2 linked regions of the Oreochromis niloticus genome follow. The main gene of each other region encodes a partner of the protein of the gene in region 2 in a complex. Links are inferred from orthologs where the notes say so. Each region holds a gene or a part of one and is shown on either strand. Other genes may lie near its edges.

Region 1 (3,760 bases), on a different chromosome or scaffold from region 2:
TTGATCATGTTTATATTGCAAACATCTACGTTTTGTAAATGGAACACAGATAGTGTGAGACACAAGTAGTAGAATTTTAAAGTAACTACCCTGAGCAGGACAGAAAGAGCGACCTCTTGTGGATGAAATAGGCACTTCTGCAGATATCACTTCATAATTGTAACACTTAAACATCCACATGAGGATGGCCCTGCTTATATTATCGGAGCTACTGAGACCCTATCGTTGCAGATCACCTGGTCAAAGTCTGCTAAATGTCCCACGCTTTTACTTTAAAATCAGAGACGATCACGTTTTTGAGGCAATAGTGCCCAAACTTTGTAATAACCTTCAGCATTATGGTCACATTTTACCTGTTCTTACCTGATCAGCTGAATCCGTAATTTGTTTTAAACAACTGCCGAAAACATTTGTTATATATATTTTAGTGTTCTCTTAATGATTTCCCCATTATTCGGACCTTAGCTTGCATCTATTTGTGTGTAAGTTAAATATGTATGTTAGAATGGACGTCTGACCGGATGGTGTGTGGTGTCTAAAACCAGTGTTCTTTAAAAAGTGGTACACAAATAAAGTTATTATTGTTGATGTTATTGTTGTCGTCGGCGTTGTTGTTGTTTGTTCTTCCACTCTTCATTTATTCCCCTTTTTGTGTGGTATATGCTTAAAGTCTATGTTAAGGCATCAGTACTCAGCTAGTGTAATGCATTAACGGAAACAAGGCGAGAACTATTTTGGAGTCTTCTGTCGTCACTGAAGCTAATGACACCTTAACGCTGTCGACGAAGAAGAAAGGCGATCACGTGTCTGCCACGTGAACAGCTGATCGTGACGTCATTCACCAACAAGCAACATGGCGGAGTGGAACAGAGGTAAATGTTTTGACACGTATTCACTTCCAAATATTCAGTTGTGTGTTATTTGTGTCAGCTTAGAGATGATATTACAGCTGGGTGGTACATTTTAAAATGTTATTTTTGAGTATCGTTTGCTCGTATAATACCCAAATCTCAAGAGCTGAGTTTATAGGCTAACTAGCTCTGACATACTTAAAGATTAGCAAAAAGCAAGGCTACCTTGTAAGTTTCATATCAGTTGCTTTCGCCCACTAAAGAAGCATCTGCCTCTCTGAAGGGTGATAAAAAGTGATATTATTATCATTAGTATTATTATTATCATTATTATCTTATTAGTTTCCCAAATATGGGAGAACGAATACTCCTTGGCAGTGTTGTAAGTTTACTTCACGTCGTTATTCCGTGCTTAGCTTAAAGGGCTGGATATATAAAGAACATCCCTTCAGCAGAGACTCTGCACCACACTCCGATCATGCTGATATCAAAGTCATTGATGAAAAAGTGTTGCTTCCTGTTGATTTAAACCGAAAATTAGAAACATTATATATTCTTTAACAAGTTATGTGTTCAGAACTATGTGCATGGCAAAAACTGTATCTTCTGAGGTCTATCTGCGGTTTTCAACAGAAACATAACAATTCAAGGAACATTCAGATCTTGTGTGTCATATCTAATCCACGGTGTTTGTGCTTGTCCAGGCCATGGCTCTGTGGATGATGTGCTCGATGCTGAAAACAAACGGCTGGCAGAGAACCTGGCCAACAAAGTCTCCAGACTGAAATCTGTGCGTAACAACCAACAACCGTCCCCTTCAGCTACCAGTCTGATTAATAAATCAGCTGGTCTGTAGTTATTAGGTTACTGCTGTCAAATGTACTCAGTTTTAATTATAACTAAAGCTGTCAGTTCCAGGAATCAGAATTATTAATTATCCCAAACACAACCAGTTTTGTTATTTAATGTACTGATACATGGCTGATTGCTTGTAAGAATTTTAGCTGTAACCAAATGCATCACTGGTGTAATGGTTGTCTTTTATTAATAAATGTACAGTATTGTGGAAATGTGAAAATTGTACAACCAGTGCCTCCAGTGTAAGATGGGACACCATCAGGCACTTCTACATAGTTACATGATATTAAGATTTTCTTACACCAAGCTTCAGGCTCTTCCTGGTTCAGAACAATCCTCTGGGTATTCACTGTACACTAATGAAAACAACTTGTTTACATAGAGTCAAGGCAATTAGTCTGTCTACCATACATCTATAAAGATTACTGTTATTTCTTTAGACTGATTCAAAATTTCTATTTTGCTTAAATAAATGACTCATAATTGGTTTAAATCTTGTAGACATTGTCCCTGATTAAAACCTCTTTGGGGATCCAGAAAATATTTTATGCATGTTCACAGACTTTGACAAATGACTCGTGTCTGTTTTTAGCAAAGAGTTGTGTTTTAAATCCCTACAACGTCCTGTTTAGTTGGACATCTTCCAATCTGCACTTAAGCTGGTTAGGTACTAAGTGACAGAGCAACAGCCTAAAAGGATAACGGGTAACCAAGAAGATGTTTGCTTTCCTGTTCTACATTTTCCTCTGCTGTGCAATTCGCTTTTCAGAATCTGCTCTCATGTTCTTTCTTCTGCCTGTAATCTAACCCTGAGATGATGTAAAACTTCACTTGTTACAAATGATTGCTTATTAGTACATTTTTGCACAAGATTCCACATTTTAGGACATGATCAAAATAATCTAAAATAAAAAATAATAGTCCTTACAGGTTTCCAAATGGTTCAAATTCAGCCTCAGGTGAGCAAGAACATATGTCATTGGAATTAAGAGAGTAAGTAGCACCCGGGTGAAAGTGAGATGGCCTCCATAAAAGGAAACGTTTTGACAGTTTGCTGGTCTGCCGCAGTCAGACTTCTACAACTAACTTGATCATCTTCTTGTCTCTGTATCTCGCAGTTGGCTTACGACATCGACAGAGATGTGGACGATCAGAATGAGTACCTGGATGGCATGGTGAGCATTTCCTGCCTTAAACACAATTATAGTTAATCTTTTAGTAAAAAAGAACTGACATTTTAATTTCTCCCATTTGTCTATAAACAGAATATTGTTTTAAATATTCACTGATTTTCACCCTGTTCTATTTTCACGACAGCTCCTCTGAACTGTTTAGTGAAGTGTTTGACCATCGATCCACAGGTTTCACTGGGACCTAACATTCAGGAAAAATTTTATAGAGTCCCAGTATAAAAAATGAGCACTGTGTTGATTGTCAGAATCTGTGTGGATTGATACATTTGGTAAACAGAGTGCACATTATATAAGTACAAATTAATACTGTCGGCTGTTTTATTTTTTCTCTTAGGTTAATTTATTGTCAGTTATTAAAGAATTATCTCATCTTTCTTTTAGGACTCAAACTTCATGAGTGCGACAGGCCTGCTCACTGGCAGCGTGAAGCGTTTCTCCACCATGGTCCGATCAGGACGAGACAACCGCCGTATCCTGTGTTACGTCTCCATGGGGCTGGTCCTGGTCTTCTTTGTTCTTTACTACCTGGTATCCAAGATCCACCAATGACTGAGAAAACAAGATCAACCAGGCTCTGATATGGAGCTGAGACTTTAGACTGTAATGTCAAAACTGATTTAAATAAAGACTTTTTTTATTGTGCACCAAAGAAAGAAAGAACGACGTAGGCAAAATTGGTTTGACCAGTTGGGGGTGTCAGTCAGCCCACCGGAGGAAACTGTAGTGGGCGTGGTCATATCAATGAGAAGCCTGAACTTTGGGATCTTTGAGTTGGCACGGAGTACGTCCCATCCTGCAGCAGCAAGTCCTGATTTGGTTGGAAGTCAACAGAGCCCGGACGCTGGGGAGGTGGGAATG
Region 2 (3,760 bases):
CATTCACAAAGTGAAGATCTGCACTGGAGCAGCTAGAGCTTATTTAAAGTGCCTGACTTGTCCATGTTAGGGATATCCACTCTCAACAGGAGAAACAATAGTTTGTTGTTTAGAGTAATATGAAGCCTGAACTTTTTAGCTCTTAGGAGTCTTTTTTTAAATGTACAAACACTAACTTCATTATTTTCAAGTTTTTGTTTTCTTTATGGAAAACCATCAAAGAATTGCAGCCATTTTTATACGACAACCCACACTTTTACAGCTGCGAAGGCATGCAGGCCTTCACTGCGTTCGTCTTTACCTGCTGTTTGTTTGTGGCCCTCTCTGCTTTCAGTTTTGTCTTCATCAGTAACTGAAAACCATGCTCTGCTGGGCTGAGCTCTGATTTGACCATTCAGGAACATTTCATGTCTTTGCTTTAGGAAACTCTTGGATTCCTTTCTGTCTGTGTTTTGGGTTATGGCACTGGAAAGCACCGTCTTATCAGTTCTAAAGCACTTTGGCTGAATCTGAGCAGAGAGTACTCCCTGTACGCTTCACAGTTCATCCTGCTCCTTCTATCAGCACTCACATCATCAATAAAAACCAATGATCCAGTTATACCGGCATCCACACATGCCCATGCAACAACACTGTCTTCACCATGCTCAAAAGATGATGAGGTCCTTCCCCTCTTATCATAGTATCCCCTTCCAAGGTAGTTAAAGCAATACTTTTAAACCCACTTGAATTAAACCTGAAGCTTCATATTTCATTTTTAATTGGTATCTTTATTTCACATCATCTGAGGTAGGAAAATTCAGAAAAATGCATCACTTTCCAAATACTTATGGCGTTTATCTTCATAGGATATGAACACTGTTTAACTACTGCCCCCTACTGGAGATACTGTTAGGTACCCGTGGACTGAGAAAAATCCGCATCTAAATTAAACAAGTAGGTACCCTCATGTTCCAAATTACTGTTTGTCTCCGGTGCTGGTAATGCTTCAAAAAGACAGATTTTAGCGTATACTTAAGTTAGATTAACGCCGGTTAAGTTTATTTACTGCTAGCCACTGTAGCTACCCACGTGAGGAGCGCACAGGCGGTCAAATCGCTGCCATTCGCTTTTTTGGTTAATCAATCCGATCTAGAAAAAATAAAGACGAACCCATCCAACCGCGCACACCATCAAACCACACACGATTTTCGCTTTTTACCATTTCTAGTACTGCTTTCTTTTCTCCTTCCCCGGCCATGCTTCACTTTCCCACCGCATCCGTCAACAGAGTAAGGTTAAGTACTGTGCTCTTTAGCCCTGAATCTGGTTTGACAGGCAAAGGAAAGTTCAATACGACTGAAATTTACCTCAATGTTTTGGTAACATATGTATGATTGTAGCCATACACTATCAAATTATCAGATAATAATTTTCATTTAAAGTGACGCAGCTCTGTGGTTGGTAGAATATTTGTCAAACGCGTCGTTTGACAAATATTATATTTTTAATATTTTTAATATTTTTAATATTTACCTGATAAATATTTATTTCAATAAAAGCTAACCTGTTGAGCAATTAACAATGGTAAGTTTTGTCACATCTCTATCTGCAGGGGAAAGCGTTATCTAGCGTTCAAGTCGCCTGGAAGACTCTAACAGGGCGAAATTCGCGCCCCTTCTATAACAAGTCGTTTATACGAAGACGTGACGATGGAACTACGTAATATGTAACTGGGGGTAAAAAGAAAAATGTAGTTCCAAAAGGGAAACAACGACGTTAAGTACATAGAGCCAGAAATGCGGTACGAACTACACTCCCCGGCACGCGCTTGAACGTGTTTCCGGTCTGGACGATTTGCTTAGCAGGCAGAAGTCACTCGAAAGGGATTAGCCAACTAGCAGCTGAAACGTCTTTAAATGTGGGAATTTGCGCTAAATGAGCCACTTTAATCGTCGTTGAGACATCCAGGTAATGAATATGATGTTATGTGACTATTACGTACGTTAGCTCGGTAGCTAAAAACAACCAACATGGCGTCAAGCGGCTAACTACCTTTCTGACGCTGATATGTACGTTTAATGGTCAACAACAGTGTTAGCTATCTTGTTGTTTCCCAAATTTTGGTTCATCTAGTATTAGCTGGCATTTTACTCTAGCATGACAGCCTGCTCATGATTGGGCATTTTCCTAGGGCGTACTAATGGCAGTAATTGGATTTCTTAGTTACACCTATTCACATGTCATTTTATTTCCTTCTTCCTGTTATCTGTAACTATTTTTGGCTGTTTCACAAGAATTATTCTTCCCTAATCATTATCGTTTGGGTTTACCCCCCAGCCCAGCAGTAACAACTCGCCTTCCTTGTCCTTCTACCTCCAGGGAGGTAATAAAGGTGAAAACCCAGCTGTTGCCATGGCAATCCTGTTTGCTGTGGTGGCTCGAGGAACCACTATTCTTGCCAAGCATGCATGGTGTGGGGGTAACTTCCTGGAAGTTACTGAGCAGATTTTAGCTAAAATTCCCTCAGAGAACAACAAACTGACATACAGCCATGGCAGGTAAGGGCGTGTGCGTGTGTGCGGCCTGTGTCATCTCCAGTTGGCAGTTTACATCCTGTTTGTGACTGTGCCTACGGCGGTGTCATGTGATAAAGTACCACAGAGTTCATTCCTTGTAAAAACTGTAGGAAAAACAGCCCTACTGTATAAAACACCTCTCATCTAACGATTAACCCTTCTGCTTTATTTCTAGCTATCTGTTTCATTACATCTGCCATGACAGAATCATATACCTGTGCATCACGGATGACGTAAGTATATATTTGACAGTCATATATTTTTGTCAGGGGTTTGGATTTGCAGTAGGCCATTTGTAGATGTTATGAATGTATTTTAAAAACCTGAATTAGTATAAAAATAAATATAAACCACCCAGCCACTGTAGGAAATGGACACATGTCCTGTGTTATTGTAGAAAACCTAGCATTACTGCTGTTGCTAAAGATGAGATAGGTTTTGAGGCAGCCACAATTGATTATATGCAACTTCTTATAAACCTATTTGACTCTTATCTTCTAAAGGACTTTGAGAGGTCACGTGCATTCACCTTCCTCAGTGAAGTGAAGAAGCGTTTCCAGACAACATATGGCTCACGAGCACAAACAGCCCTACCTTACGCCATGAACAGCGAGTTCTCCTCTACACTGGCAGCTCAAATGGTGTGTATGATGAAAGCCTGAACATACCAAGCAATGTTTCCTGTGACAGCTCTGTGATGTCTTAATATTTCTGTGGTTTAAAAGAAAAAAAAGGAAACAGAAGAAGATGTGAAGAAGTGTGACGTGTTCCTTTTCTTTGCAGAAACACCACTCAGATCCACGTGGACCCGATCGTGTCACTGAGACTCAGATGCAAGTGGACGACCTGAAGGGCATCATGGTCCGCAACATAGGTGAGCGTCTCTTCAATTTCCTCATTTTGTATTTATTCATAAATAAATAAATAAACAAGGCTCTGAGATGGAAAAACCTTAACTTAAACTCTAATAAACCAAGTTAGATAAAACCTGTAATGTGTGACTGGTGTGTGGTGTGACTTTCGCCCTTAAATGAGTGCAGTGTTGTATCATGAGCGACCACCTCACTTACAATGCATGATGTGCTGTGTTTAGTGAATTACTCATATGTATTGTATTATGTGTATTCACACTAAATTCACTGTTTGCATTCATTTTTTTACAGACTTGGTAGCTCAGAGAGGAGAAAAGCTGGAGCTGCTGA

The links. The genes of interacting proteins can lie anywhere in the genome.
Region 1: sybl1 (region 2) and bet1l share a complex: the UniProt entries of both Homo sapiens proteins name them as parts of the SNARE complex. The link is inferred for Oreochromis niloticus from reciprocal best matches to the Homo sapiens genes VAMP7 and BET1L.

Annotation. Positions count from the first base shown.
Region 1 is NC_031972.2:40,860,806-40,864,565, forward strand, and holds the start of bet1l (BET1-like protein), read left to right. Parts: upstream 1-747; 5' UTR 748-853; coding exon 854-872; intron 873-1,555; coding exon 1,556-1,641; intron 1,642-2,827; coding exon 2,828-2,884; intron 2,885-3,283; coding exon 3,284-3,451; 3' UTR 3,452-3,760. UniProt on the Homo sapiens protein: Vesicle SNARE required for targeting and fusion of retrograde transport vesicles with the Golgi complex. Required for the integrity of the Golgi complex.
Region 2 is NC_031966.2:31,862,750-31,866,509, forward strand, and holds the start of sybl1 (vesicle-associated membrane protein 7), read left to right. Parts: upstream 1-920; 5' UTR 921-936; intron 937-1,201; coding exon of another isoform or gene 1,202-1,240; exon of another isoform or gene 1,241-1,318; intron 1,319-1,761; exon of another isoform or gene 1,762-1,950; intron 1,951-2,319; exon of another isoform or gene 2,320-2,361; 5' UTR 2,362-2,394; coding exon 2,395-2,540; intron 2,541-2,733; coding exon 2,734-2,791; intron 2,792-3,061; coding exon 3,062-3,199; intron 3,200-3,341; coding exon 3,342-3,432; intron 3,433-3,721; coding exon 3,722-3,760. Other genes in the region: polr1d (DNA-directed RNA polymerases I and III subunit RPAC2), read right to left, coding at 302-394. UniProt on the Homo sapiens protein: Involved in the targeting and/or fusion of transport vesicles to their target membrane during transport of proteins from the early endosome to the lysosome. Required for heterotypic fusion of late endosomes with lysosomes and homotypic lysosomal fusion.